Linked DNA regions of Drosophila melanogaster. The protein of the gene in region 1 interacts with the protein of each later gene in a pairwise test. Each region holds a gene or a part of one and is shown in the gene's direction. Other genes may lie near its edges. The genes, in order: CG18371, Archease, robl37BC and CG15446.

Region 1 (2,582 bases):
TGTCGCAATTGAAGCGCAGTTTCTGGCAGCAACAGCATGAGCTATAGTATCTATAGATATACCGATACCTATACTTATGCCTACATGTACATACAAACATATATACCCGTTCGTTCGTAGCTCCAACGGCGAGGCATGCGAAGTCCCTTCAAGCGTTTCAACGTACTTTTTTTTTTGCTGCGCTTCGGTTTGTTTGATTTGGCTTGCTCACCTTCGGCTCGACGGCAACAACAACAACAGCAGCAGCAGCAACAACAACAGTATCGAACGGACGTCGACGGAGGCAGCGACGGAACTGCGAATTCGATGGAGACGTCGGTGGCGGTCTCAACCTGAAATCCAACCTGAAACTCGAAACGAACCCGAGGCTCGTGCTGTGTTTCATTTGAATGGGCACACGACGAACGGAGTTCGAGTTGGATTGGCCACAGTGTGCCGGCCAAATTGGAAGCCTTTGGTTCCACTTTGCGAAAACTTTTAAATTCGCTTAACCAAATTGACAGCTTTAGGGCCATTTCAACATACGTACACGTTTGGTTTCTTAAAATGTAGATGGTAAAGGGGGAAAATCTTTTCGGTTGCACGCTAACGTCAGGGTGGAAGAATGAAAAGCAGTTAATTTCTAGAGAATATATCGTATCGTTAATATTTAATAGTCTTCCTTACAAACCTTAGACATAATTGTGAAAAAGTATAATTTATGTAGTCATCGGGAAACCAATTTCTGGAAGCTGTCGGACGAGTACTTGTAACTGTAGTCATTTATCACAGGCATCTTTTGCAAATACCTTGGCTCAAAGGACCTCATTTCCCCATGCTCTCCCTTTTGGTCTCTTTCTGTCTACCCATCCCGCTTGCACTTGATCCTGTGCCTAGGCCATAAATATCGTATTAAATATTTGCCTTAGTATCGCCTGCGATGTCGGCGTTTCGCGTTTGCATTAACGCCGAATGTTGTCTGTTTATCTCGCTAGTTATTGTTCGCGCTGCCCATAGGTGGTGTTTTGCCATTTTCGAGGGGGGTGTTCATGTGTCCATGGGCCATAGGGGAAGGGGAAGGGGGAAGGGGGAAGGAAGGAGGCTTGCTGGCAAGAGGAACAAGGGGGGGGGAGGGTTTCGGCTCTGGTTTGGTGGTTGCAAACTTTTGTGGCATTGCCAGTTGATTGGATTGCCATGAGATGAACTTGGCGTCGCATGTGAATGTGTGCGTGTGTGCGAATGAGTGTGGCAAGTGATTTATGAGTCCCCAGTGCTGATATGGGATACGCTATACGCTATGGATATACAATAGATACAATGTCATTAGCGCTCTCGCCGATACACTGCTCCTTTTTCCAACGTAAACTCCCTATTTCTTTCGTCGATTTTAATTTAAGCACATAATGGCGATATCATTGACACCCAGTAGTTTAACATTTAATTTTAGCAAGTTTTGCTTGTGTTAACATTATTTGGGTTTCACTGTGCTGCAGAGCGCACATTCCGAAAGGAAACACTTAACTGCTTAAGGGAATCTAGGAGCTTGCGACATTCCTGTAACGAACACTGACAAAAATCAACTAAATTTCAACAAGTGGAGTTTCTGTTTCTATCTCTCTCTCGATCGACAATAAGTTGGAGTTATTTCTAGAAAAAACGAAGCATATTGAAGATGATGCAGCCAGCGGAACAGATCTTCTCCTGCGGATTCGAACTCTTCGGGCGAGTACAGGGTGTGTGTTTGCGGAAGCAGACACGAGATCTGGCCACAATGAACCAGGTGCGCGGGTGGGTGATGAACACGGACGAGGGCACGGTGAAGGGACAGCTGGAGGGCACACTGCCCAAGGTCAACGTGCTGAAGTTCTGGCTACTGAATATCGGCAGTCCGCGCTCGATTATCGAGCGGGCGGAATTCACGCCCACCAAGGAGATCACTTCGCACAACTTTAGCCGATTCTCGATTCGCTACCACAATGTGGCAGCAACGAAAAAGGCCATTTAATAAAGAATTTAGACTTGTAGTCTACTACCGAAAATTGGAACTGTGTATTTGCTGTAACTATTTGTTTGGACCTTTAAATTGAGCTGCCTACGAATGGAGCCCAGTTGTGCTTCTGCGAGCATCATTTATAAACCTCTAAAATGAAAAACAGGCTGCTGCCAGCCACTAATTAAGCCGCACAAAGAAATGCTCAGCGCAATTACATGGAGGCTGGCACATCCACTATGTACTTATTTTAATATATGTATCTACAAAGTAAATATATGTACATATGTATATATATATATATGTGAGATGACTTGGTTAGACAGACACCTGCAGCTTCAGCTTCAGCTTCAGTTTTAGCCTCGGCTTGGCCACATTTCCAGTTGAGCGACGCCCCAAACTGGCAATGAGTTTTTACGGCACACAAACAGCAGCCAACAGGCAACAGACAATACTGGCTATAAGGAAAATCTAGAATAACAACAGAGAGCCACAAATATTTATCGCAGTGCGCTGAACAAGAACAGATTGACTATTTGATTGAAGGTGAAAATCTAGTAAGTCGTGACTTCTCAAGGCGGAAGGAAATGCCTTGAAATGCATTTTTGGGTAA
Region 2 (4,031 bases), on another chromosome or scaffold:
ATTTAACAAAACAAGTTACCTAGCTACTTAGTTTAGTTGAGTTTTCCGAACTCCCGAGCTTTAGTTTCACTTCCAGGCAATTTACTTCTGGTTGTTCCAAATATATAGTGTAGCCAAATATGAAATTCTGGAACTCGTACGCAAAGGCGCGCAAATATTCGAGAATAATAATAGCTTTACAGTTATTTGCGCCGAATACGCGACGTGAATCAGGCGAGCTCCCGTAGCCAACTGAACCACTCGAAGACGTAGGAAACCAGAGAAAAAGAGCTTCCACCAAAAGTGGCAGCAGCAGCCAAATGAGCCATAATAAAAAAAAAACCACAAAAATAGCAGGAAAATGTTTGAAAGCCATAATATGGCCGGGCACAAAATTGAGCTTTGTCAACTCGGCTTAGAGTTTGACACCCCCAAGTCGCGTTTCCTCATGTGCAAAATGAACAAAATTGAACAAAACGGTCGTAAATCACCAGCAGAAATCATTCATAAATTCCTTTAGAAATGCGTAGAATCATTTAATTGACCGAGATGCGCACTAACTGATAACCATTACTTAGCAAGTTATTATTAATATTATTTCATATAATTTTATAGCATGTTTGATAATAATTCATATTAATGTCCCAAAAGGTGAACAAAAAGTAAATACAAAATTCATTTGAAATAATACAAACACTTTAACTATAAAATAACTTTTCATTTCTCTTAACACACTAAATATTTCTTGAACTTTACATCAACGAGTTGAACGACCTTAGAAATAAATATTTCCTTCGCTGTCTATTTCAAACAATAACCCATCACCGCTGGTTGAAAAGTGATCTGAATTTAATGAGGCAATATTTATTAGACAATCCCATGTCCGTCAATGGGTATTATTCAAGTATGAAATCAAGTACTCACAGCCAGCGCTCAAGTTCATGGGATTGAATAAATCAAGCGACGTGATTGACAATCGTAACGATTGACGGCAATGCTGCCGGTAGGCCAGAAGAAGATTTTGTGGACTGTTTCTTTTGGCAAATGAAAATACAAGGTTGCAGCTTCAGTTGTTATGGCTGATTGCGATTTAATGAAAGGACAAGGTCGCTCTTACAGAAATTCAAAACTGGGCTGAAAACATGCGCCAGCACTTTGTAGCACTTTAAGTGCGATAACAAATGGTGGGCATAAACTGGAAATTCTGCTTTAATTTTGCTCAAAATTACTTAATTTTATTACAATCACAGCCTTTAGCACAATTTTATTTCTTTCGTTCTGTAACGTTTTTAGATATATTTTTTTTAACTAAAAGGGCCGTGGGAAGCATTTTGTAAACACTTTATTAAAGGAGGAAGCATTATTTTTATTTTTCTTCTCTTCTGATGTTGGAATCCTTCCCATTTGACATGCATATTTAAATTACAAGTTTTTTAAATTACAAAGTTAAAAATAAATGAAGCCTTTAGGTATTTTTAGATATTTTTAACAATTTCGAATTTAAAAGCTTGATAGAAACTTTTATCTTATAATTCAATCTTTATAATTTATAGTTTACTCTTTATTAAATAAAACCCAAATATTTCTTACAAACAATTTTATACATTTTATTAAAATTTGTATGTTAACATTTCCCGGTTTGAGCTCAGTATTTTCTGTAATTTGTATGTTAACAATTTCTTATTGGAGCTCGGTATATTCCTTTCAGTAGGTATTTTCCCCTGCGCATAGATGGTCACACTAAGCGGTTGCTGGTTTGTTTATAGTTTTTGTCCGCGAATTTTACTTTAACTTTAGCTATAACTAACAATAATGGAGGTGGAATTCAGTAGGGAGAACTTCCTGCTGCCGGAGATGAAGTACGAGTGTGAGTAGTTCTTCGATTTGCAGGAGAATAATCTGTTGCTAAATATTTCATCACATTGCGTTGCAGACCTGGATCACACGGCGGATGTTCAGTGAGTAAGATAACAACAAAAACAACAAGTGTGCCCGTTAGCCATGTGGAGTAGGGTGGTTCGCTATTTGTGAATGAAAAATCCAGATGATCGTATAAACTAGATTCTAATAAGCGCTTTCGTATTAGAATTTGAGATATAGCAAACATTCTGAAAAAGAATTTATTTTAATTTATACATATTTTAAAGCCATTATAATTTTTCATATTTTCCCAAACCTATGTATTATGTTCATAGTTAGGGAATACGGCTTTTTAAACGTCAAATGTATCTGCTTTTTTGAAGATTATATGTAATGCAAGTTTTTTCTGACTTTTATATTATACTACTATCGCTTAAAACAACAAGACTATTATTAAGTAGTAGATCATAAATAATTCTTTTACTACGCCACTAAAAGGCAGCAGTTTTGTATATAAATTATAACTTACGGCTACAATAGACATAATTAATTTACTTAATATAAACGGATGATGTTGGAATCCTTCCCATTTGACAGAATCCACGGATGGGGATCGTCGCTGAAAGAGGCGTTCGAACAGTGCGGAGTGGCCATGTTTGGATATATGACCGAACTGGATTACGTGTCCGTGGAGCAGTGCTTTGAAATCGAAGCGCATGGAGATGATCTGGAGAGCTTACTCTTTCACTTTCTGGACGAGCTGCTGTTCCTGTTCTCTGCCGAACCGTATCTGGTGTGCAAGAAGCTGGAGATCACCAAGTTCGATGTGGAAAACTTCGAGATTTCCTGCCATTGTTACGGGGAACCATTTGAGCTGGGGAAACATCCGCAGGGCACCGAAGTGAAGGCAATCACATACTCGGCCATGCAAATCATTCAGGACGTGGAGGCCAGCAACTACGAGGTGTTCGTGATAATTGACATTTGATCCAGCGGCGATCGCCGGGAATTAAATGTGACTGTTCTGTTTCAACCCCTTTGCCTGTCTCCATTAATCATAAGTGAAATGCCAAAAAACGATATAAAAACCGCTGCATAAGCCCCGAAAAATTTGCAATCTCTCGTGCTGCGACTGCATCCCTTGTCGATGAGGATGACTTATCAAGAAACCACTCGATTGTGCGGCTGCAAATGCAATTAGGACTGGCTTCCTTCTCACCGGTCTGATTCCGGAATCAAGATTTACCCTTTTGCCTTCGAATTTTTTGTGTACTATTCACTTTTTTTTTGCCCACTGCTTTGTGAATTGGCAACGTGTTGAATTCCCAGACAAATGCCGAATTTGTTGTCCTTTCCCAGGCCCCAGTTCAATGCACTTTTTATTCGGCAGCCTTCAGGAGTTGCTGACGCGTTGGGTTGCATTAAAGAATTAAGTTGTACTTCTTTTTGGGGAGTCATGTCGAATAGGGCAGTTAACAATGCAAGTCAAGGCCATAGTTTTAATGTTATGATTGACTTGATTTGTTCGACATAAAGTATAGAGAATGCGGGGCCTAAAAACACAAACATATTTTTTTATCAACAATAATTTAGTTCAATGAATGTAAATCGTAATAAATATCTATACGATTAAGCAATCCCTAATTCTAAATATCAATCCACGACGATATCAACAAATATTAACGCTTTTCAAAAAACCGATTTCCTTTGAATAACGCGCTATTCTCGAATCAGTATTATTCGGATGATTTTCGCGTGAGCCGATGTTATTTAGTGGCCGATGAGCGAAGTCAGCTGGTAACACCGAGCGATTTGTTTTGAAACAGCTGACCGCACCGTCAAAACCCAGAAAGTAAACAACAAAAAAAACATTTGCCGGGCAACGTCGCCCAACATATGGGCCCGTTCTTGTATTTGTGTGGGTGCGTGCGTGCACGAGTATGATGATTTTTCCTTGGAACATCGGGCGAAGAACGGCGAACTGAAAAATATACGCTTTTACAGCTGATTGATATTAAAAAAAAAGCAACGCTGCGGTCGACGAGCCATACGAATGAGCGTGCGAAAGAACAAACAAAGTATGAAGGCAAATAGCCCGCGGACACACACGCACACACAAACGGCCAGTTGGTCGATTCGCTTTTAGCTTTCAGCTTTTCGAGTGCGTCAAAGTTAAAGTGGCTGAAAAACTT
Region 3 (2,749 bases), on another chromosome or scaffold:
GGGTTAAAATACCAATTAGCGTGTACACAATCCACAATTAGCGTGGACACGCACCGAAACTATCTTTTAGCCAGTACAACCTCCAAAGTTATGACGATTGGTAACGCCGTTTTCGACTTCGAATATTTGTAGTTGCCAACCTTCTTGAAGATTGTATGCGTGCGTGAATTTAAATTTTTTTAAATCGTGATAATGCGTCGAGCAACAATCTAAGCTAAAATTAGATGGCACGGCGTTTATTGATGCGAAACATATGCAATGCCAACAATCTTAATATGATTCTATGCTTTAGCTCTTTGAACCTTTAAATGTTGGCCAAGCACCCAAAGTGTTGAACTATAGCATGTGTTTTATTTAAAATCTATTTGTGATAGAGCTTAAAACACTAAACAGTGGGTGTGGGCATTAAGGTATCTACAACTGCGTGATTGGAAGAGACCCAGTTGCTTTGTGACGGCTCACAACCCCGGATTGCTGTGTCAAGCTTTTACGTCGAATTATTGAATAAATAGTTCCGCACGGCGAACGGGTCGGCAACGCCAAATGAATTATACAACGTGGATTAGGGAGCTCCAAGGAGGGCGGCACGGAGCATCCTCATCCGCATCCTCATCCGCATCCACATCCGGAGTCAGAGTCAGTCGCAGACGGCTACCGGCACGTGACGACACCACAACCCAATGCCAACCCATGGCCCACAGTCATAAAGTTGCCTGTTTGGGAGTCCTGAGCTCATCATCATCGGCTCGTTGCGTGCGTGCGCACTCGACTCGCTTCCAGACAATCTGTGGCCTGGGCCGGCTTATGAATGATGCACAGGCTGCTGCTGCTGCCGCTGCCGGACGGGCAGGAGTGAACTTTTCAGTTCGGGACTTCAACACTTCGATTGTCGGGCTGTAATTCAACGCCATTTACGTGGCCGCATGCTGTCAGGAATGATTGCCGCCTGCACCACCGTGGGTGGTGGCGCCTCGTCTGGGTCGTTACATCCTCCACCTCCACTGTCCTATCATTTCCATTCCCCTGGCGACGCGTGCTGCTGCACAAATAAGATTCAACCTTTGACATAGAGTCCGGAAATTCTTTCACTAGCCGGCTGTCTTGATGGTTGGATGCTTGGCTGCTGGGAAGCTGGGATGCTGGGATCTCCTTGCCAATAGCCACGGGGGAGCTCTGAACTTCCCCCGCGAAATTAAGTCCAAGTCGCTGCGATGATGAAGTTGCGAAATGCTCATCGATCTGTGTGGCTACTGGTCTCCCACATATAGTAAAAGGTTCTATTATAGGATTGACTTAAATCATCTCCCTGTGGTAGCTTACGTGATATGGATCGTTAGCAGGACATAAAATTTAAGGCAGGATTAGGATTTTATATTTTATTATCCATAAGGTTCAGTCTGTATTTTGAACCATTTGCTTGATAGCAAATTATTGTTATAGATATATGCCAATGTAACATAGTTTTGACTAAATAATAGCTTCTAATATTTGTATCTTATCTAGTTAAGACTTACATATTGAATAATCAGTTCAATAAATCACTTCCCACTTGATCTTTGAAACAGAGATCGAAATATCTGTGTGTTTGCTTTAAGTCACCTACATCCAGACCTACAAATACAGCCCCCGCCCTATAGTTCACCCAAATAGGGATCCACTTCCGCTCTTGGAAGCCATGGCGTCAAACACTGTGCAGATGACCTTCGATCGGCTGGTTCAGCTGCCAGGCGTGACGGGGGCAATCCTGATCGATGGCAATGGAGTTCCGGTGCGGACCAATTTGCCAGCGAATGTGGCCCGCATATACGCCGATCGGATGAGGCCACTGGTGATTCTGGCCCGATCCATGGTGCAGGATTTGGAGAATGGGGACGAGCTGAGTTACGTGCGGCTGCGCACCCGCCGCCAGGAGACGATGGTGGCCACCGAGAACGAGCACACGATCATTCTGATCCAGGACAACCGTGTGCTCGACGAATCCTGGAGGAGCAGTGTCGCCTCGCGGAGAGCCTCGGCGCTCTAACGGCTTCGAGTTCAGTAGGGATCGTAAACCAGCTGCGCCAGCGGGTAACGACCACGTCCTGATGTCCTGGCTGAGAGAAGTCCTTGCACGGACGAGCTCACAAATCCAAAGTACAGAGCTGAAATTGTGAGCCGGGACATTGCTGTGCTGGAAGAGCACGCAAAAATAAAATCCACATACAGGCGGGGTAAATTGTGTTTGCGTACCCTCATTGGGAGTCCAGTAGGCTGTTGTCGAAGGTCGTGTGCCTCCAAATTGTTGTAGATATCAGTAAGTAACAGCAATACAAATATTTTATTATTATGGTTTGGCAATATACGTAATTTAAACATTGATATATTAGCTACACACCCGGAATATATGGTTTGAATTTGAAAACCTTGTAGTATATGGCCGTAAGTGATCCTCGTAGCTTTACCACTTGGCCTAGCCGGGATTGGGTATTTCTGGATTCGGTCTGCAGGAAAAGGAGGAACACATCCTTCCATCGAGTTCGTTTCGATTGCTGGCAACAACCGGCTGCCGTCACGCCATCAAGCATTCATGCCAACAGCAACAACAGAGTGGATAGAGGGGGGATGGCAGGGGCTGAAGGACCCGCAGAGCAGCCTGTCGCCTGCACACTTACACATACTCGTGGGCACGCACACACCCTCAGCCTCAGCACACTTACACAGCAACACGCCGGGCTTTACACGCCTCCGCACGCGTCACACGAAAGCACGA
Region 4 (5,411 bases), on another chromosome or scaffold:
GACCCCACCCACAACCCAAGCCGGAAAACTGCAGCAGCCCAACACCATATATGTCATATCTGTCTCCATTTGCTGGTGGTGCAAATGGTTCCAAGGAATGTGGTGCTGTGATGCTGGACGGACAGCAATTTACCTGGCAGAGTGGTGCACAATATCCAGAGACTGGACTTGGTGTACTTGGTGATGTAGGCGCCATCGTCCAGGGCTTTGAAGTTGGCCGTCCCATTGTAGTTGGCATTGGGCAGCTTCTCCTCCGTGAAGAGCCACTGGGGTCCGGCCAGAGCGGCGATGACAATGGCGACAGAAATGCTGCAAAAAACAAGCAGAGTGGAAATAAGACACTGGCCAAAATCATTTCGATACTCGTTAAAATATTTAATATTTAAAAAAGGTTAGGTTGTTTTTAAATGAGTAACAGACTCATTTTTATTTGCGTTCTTTGGCAATGCTCTCAGACAACTCTAGCCAATTTAGTTTTATTTTTACATTTATGTACATATCAAAATGATTTAAGAACCACAGTTTTTTGGTTGTGCAATTGGAGAGTAGAGAAAGTTGCATTCTCTAAATCAAAATGAAAGTCGTTGGCGAGACCCTGGATCTCCGGGCACTCCAAAAATTGTGTGGGGCAGCTGATTAAAAAATATTCAACCTGTTTTGCGGTCGGTCGGGGGACGACTCTGCCAAAAACGAGGCCGAAAATCCATAAAAACACATGCGTACGAAGCTTTCCAACCACCCACACTCACACAACCAACCCACCCACCCACACTCACACACGCAATGATGTGCAAATAAATGTTGGCACCCAAAAACGAGGAGTGCAAATAAAATTGTTGGCGCTGAAAAATGTGCGAAAAAAGAAGCAGTGAAAATGCAAAAAAAAAAAGAGTTCAAAAGGGTGGTGGGAATTTTTTTTAGAGGGATCTTTAGCTTGTCGTCACCCAGATATTCGTGAATATATTCATGAGTGCACTTGAACGCCAATATTTGCGCAGTTTGGCACCGCGCGTAGTCACAAGTGCTGAGATGTACTTCGTATTGTTTAGTACTCAATATTGTTTTAAAACAAATGCCAATCGATTTATGCAACAAAAATATGTAGGTGCAAGCACTATTATTTAATCGAATTAAGGCCATACTATTTTAACCGTTTTTATAAAGTGGAAAATATCTACATATATGTATGTATGTCGGAGATTGAGTAGATTACATTACATATTATTATTTGAATGTAATCGAAATTATGTTATTGATCCGTTATGTTAAGAATGAGCAGCGAGTAATGAAATTCACGGAGAGCGTTCCGTTATTGAGTGGCCATCATTTGTGTGTGTATTCAAATGAGCATGGCTCCTGTTGTTGTTGTGGTAGTGTTTCGTGAAAACGATATACCGCGCTCCGCTTCTCCGATATATGTATGTACATACATATATAATATTAAGGATTCTACAACCGCCTACATTGGCATTTAATTGCATTAAATTTGATTTGAAATTTCTACTCCACTATGGGCTGAATGAAAAATACAAATTAATAAAATTAATAAGTCTAAAACAGAGAGAAATACATATTGTATTTAGTTTGTGTTTTCTCTATTATCTCTATAAAACTATAAAAAAAACTTAGAGCAAACATCACTTGTTTAACAAAAACTTTGCGTAGTACGTCATTTATTAAATTCGAAACGAAAACAAACGCACGTGGGCACGACGACATTGCTTACAGCTGTTTTATAACAGCTGATTTCTTATTATTAATCCTATTGTTATTCGCAACAATACATTTTAATATTATACTAAAACTATGCTTTTGGACCTTTTTAAAGTGAAAGAAACGATTTAAGCTGATCTTGGATTGCAAACGTTTGGTATGAAATTAAATTCCAAAGAGGCTTATTTAACAGTTATGAACTAAATTTAAATTGACACCTTTTTAACCAGGCAACTCTATCGGTGAATGGTGGCATCAAATTAGACAGCTTAAATCTATCGAACAAAGATGGCGGACTTCTTTTCTTACGCCACGTGTCAAAGGAATGTGATTTTGGTGTTTTAAAAATTTATTGTTTAATCTGTTTGCTGCGCTCAAGTCGTTTTACTCTGCTGGTTTGTTACTGTGTAATTATTTAACATATTCAACCAATTTAATTATGCGAAGCATGTTTTCGGATCGTTACAACAATAGGCGCCGCAATTTTTACGAGCGCTACGAAGGTAAGTTTTCCATAAATGTGGTATGTAGTATTCTATATACAAAATAGTCTGCACAGCAAAACAGTTCCTTGATATATCCTGCTTGTGTTTCTAGCTGCTAGAATTATCCATCCGAGTCTCCCGGAGTGCCAGCGTCCAGTGGAACCCACCGAAGTGAAGCATCCGAACAACCCCGTTAATCGTCGTCCCGTTTCGTATCGCCAAATGGCCAATCAGTCGCGGAGGCAGCTGGAGAACGACTCCTGGCTATCCAGTGATCGACTGCCCATGATGGTGCGCCATGAAATCGAGACCCGTAACAAAAAACAGTTGATGTCCAAATACAATGCGGAAACGGCTACCCATGTGTTCAGCCATAATGGCGGGCCACGACGTGGTCGTCCTCCATCTGCCGCCACTGCGGCCAGAATGGCATCTGAATTCGCCCGTCAAGTCGGTGGCATTTCTCAATCTCCGACCATCGAAGATGAAGGTAAGTCGGGGGAACAGTCGGTTATGCAGCCGAAATCCAAGAAGGCGAACAAGATGCCGGACAAGGTGGCGGACAAGTTGGCGACCAAGTCGGAACCGAAGTCGGAGGAGTCCAACGTGCCCGTTAAGATTAAAGTGGAGGGGGTCGAGCACAACGCTGAGGGGTCGCAGTCTGATTCGATGGTCAATACCAATCAGGGTTTTACCACAAATAGGAACTTTATTCCAATTTTGAGCTCTTTCCCTAACCCTTACCGTAACATGGATGTTACATGGACCGAACAATTTAATGCATTATCAAACCAATACTACAATCATATCATGAACTCCATCTCGTCTTTGAGCCAGATACAGCCGTTGAATTCAACACCATCAGCCAACCCGCCTATATTCGGTGCTAACCCAATGGTAATGGGCCGTCACCCACCATTTAGCGTCTTTTCGTGCCCGTTGGATTACTGCAAGGAAAATTTTGATTCGCGGTAAGTTTTTCAATTTTCAATATTAATATTCTTTTATATTTTCTTAAACTGCCCACACCTGGAGACATTTTCAAGGCTACTTAAGTAGCTGCCAATCCATCATTCCTACAGGTACATATGCTGTTTTACACAAAAGTTTAGTTTTGCTCATAGATCATAAGGAAGTACATATATGAGCATTCCCAATACGAACTTAAAATTTATTTATAATATTTTATTTTATTTGTAAGAGTCTCATTATTTTCGCTGATAATTTAATGAGTTAGATAAAAAAAGCCAAGAGTATTATTCAGATAGAAATTTTTCTGTTGTGAAAAATTAAAATTAAAGAGCACCACGTGCCCAATCAAGGTTTAAATTAGTCCCCTTTTAAAAAATGGTAAGCCACTCACTTATTAAAAAATAAAAAATAAGTACAATTGTTCTATGAATTCTTAACTTAACTAAGGAACTTTATTAGGAACAACGAAAAAATAAATGCTTAAATTTTCAATTTTAAACTTAATAACAAATGTTTGCGTATTAAAACTACGCTACCTTAATATATTTATGGTAGTGTATCCATTATAAGCATTAATAGCTGCGCCTTGGACTTCAGGCTTTTAAACCATGTTCCCTGAGACATGAAGGATTCGACCAATATTTCAGTATGATTTTTTTTCTTAATCATGTCACGTTGCTGTACAAAGCTTTCCACGTTCCGTTTTAATAATATTTTTAAGGTACTTTTACAATAATTCGAATTTTTTAAAAAATTGATAGTGGTGCTATTTTTTCGCCTTATTTTGGACCTTGCTGAACCAAAAAAATTATAAACAAGAGAGATGGCTATAGTCGAGTTCCCCGACAATCAGATACCCTTTACTCAGCTAGTAGAAATGCGAGAAATTTATTAGTTTTTGGACATATCGATAGATTATGGGGAATAAAATGAGAAAATTTTTAAAAATTGTTTAAAAGTGTGGGCGTGACTGTTCGGGGTGTGTAGGTGTAAAGATAGACATTTACAAGACTAATAGAACTATGAAAAAATATGAAAACATTTTTCAGAAGTGTGGGCGTATTAGCTTTAACCGGTTTGTGGGCGTGGCAACATTTGGAAACCAACTTGTGCTGCGACTATGTCTCCTTAAGCTGCATGCCTAATCTTAACATTTTAGCCATTATAGTTTCTAAGATCGAGACGTTCTGACAGACGGACGGACTGATGGATAGACAGGCGGAATATGGTCGGAAAGCTGTTACACAGTTTTCAACGAATCTAGTATATCCTTATACGAATATTATATAAATTCTTTTCAGATTCGGATGGGGAAATACCCAAATGATCAAAAATAAATGATACGCTATGGTGGTGCTATTGATTTTTTCGAAACTGTATATTTGGGTTCTGTACTGTATTTGGGTTCCGAAATATGTACGTTTCATTAATATCGCTCATTCTTCTATCTTTTCAGTCGGGCCATGTACAAGCACCAACGCGAGACTGGTCACCACAATTGGCCACACAACTGCAGCAAGTGTGGCCAGGTCTTTCGCACATCAGGCTTTATGCGCATGCACTCCGTGAATGCCTGTGCGCGAAACTTACACAAGTTTAAAATAACTAAGCCAAATGAATTGCAGCAACTTGGCAAAAAACCAAAGCCGGAATAAATCTGTTTGTATACAGCGAAGCCATAATTTAATTTATATGAAATAAAGAATGGCATAATGGTGAAAATATAGATTTTTGTTTTGTGTACTTTCGTATAGTTTGCGAACAAATTAAGCCCACATTGTGTCGTTAATACAATTATTTGTCAAGCAACAAGGATGAAAAACCCGCATGGAGGTCTGGATGTCCTCGTTGCTCCTGTGACAAGGACGAGCTGCCATTTGCCAGCTGCAAAGCACGTGAAACCCGTTTCCTCGGTTTATGAACTAAATTTAACTTGCCACCTTTTGGCGTCATGGGAATAATGCTTTCAAGCCCTTTCCAATGGTATACTTTTCACGATTTTGAATTAAAAAGTACGCCTCTAAATAAAAACTCAAAAACTCTCTCAAAAAAGTTCTAAGTACGGTCGCAAGGACGTGGGTGAGATTTCAAGGGTTGCACGAAAACATGTCCTCATTTGATGAGAAACATTTACGAATATCAATTGGCTTTGGGCCCTTGTAAACGTATATATAAAAAATGCATATAATCATAAAACCATTTAAAAAGGCTGTACCCGTATATTCCAGTTATTTTCAGCTC

What was found.
Region 2: the proteins of CG18371 (region 1) and Archease interact in a two-hybrid assay, tested with the Drosophila melanogaster proteins (one large-scale study listed by BioGRID).
Region 3: the proteins of CG18371 (region 1) and robl37BC interact in a two-hybrid assay, tested with the Drosophila melanogaster proteins (one large-scale study listed by BioGRID).
Region 4: the proteins of CG18371 (region 1) and CG15446 interact in a two-hybrid assay, tested with the Drosophila melanogaster proteins (one large-scale study listed by BioGRID).

The regions. Positions count from the first base shown.
Region 1 is NT_033778.4:14,027,083-14,029,664, forward strand, and holds CG18371 (uncharacterized protein), read left to right. Parts: upstream 1-1,537; 5' UTR 1,538-1,651; coding exon 1,652-1,984; 3' UTR 1,985-2,014; downstream 2,015-2,582.
Region 2 is NT_033777.3:21,660,625-21,664,655, reverse strand, and holds Archease (archease), read left to right. Parts: upstream 1-1,683; 5' UTR 1,684-1,791; coding exon 1,792-1,846; intron 1,847-1,912; coding exon 1,913-1,937; intron 1,938-2,436; coding exon 2,437-2,827; 3' UTR 2,828-3,470; downstream 3,471-4,031. UniProt on the Drosophila melanogaster protein: Component of the tRNA-splicing ligase complex required to facilitate the enzymatic turnover of catalytic subunit RtcB.
Region 3 is NT_033779.5:19,009,321-19,012,069, forward strand, and holds robl37BC (robl37BC), read left to right. Parts: upstream 1-1,545; 5' UTR 1,546-1,675; coding exon 1,676-2,023; 3' UTR 2,024-2,212; downstream 2,213-2,749.
Region 4 is NC_004354.4:21,098,828-21,104,238, reverse strand, and holds CG15446 (uncharacterized protein), read left to right. Parts: upstream 1-2,032; 5' UTR 2,033-2,152; coding exon 2,153-2,216; intron 2,217-2,310; coding exon 2,311-3,169; intron 3,170-4,626; coding exon 4,627-4,825; 3' UTR 4,826-4,888; downstream 4,889-5,411. Other genes in the region: stg1 (stargazin-like protein), read right to left, coding at 134-309.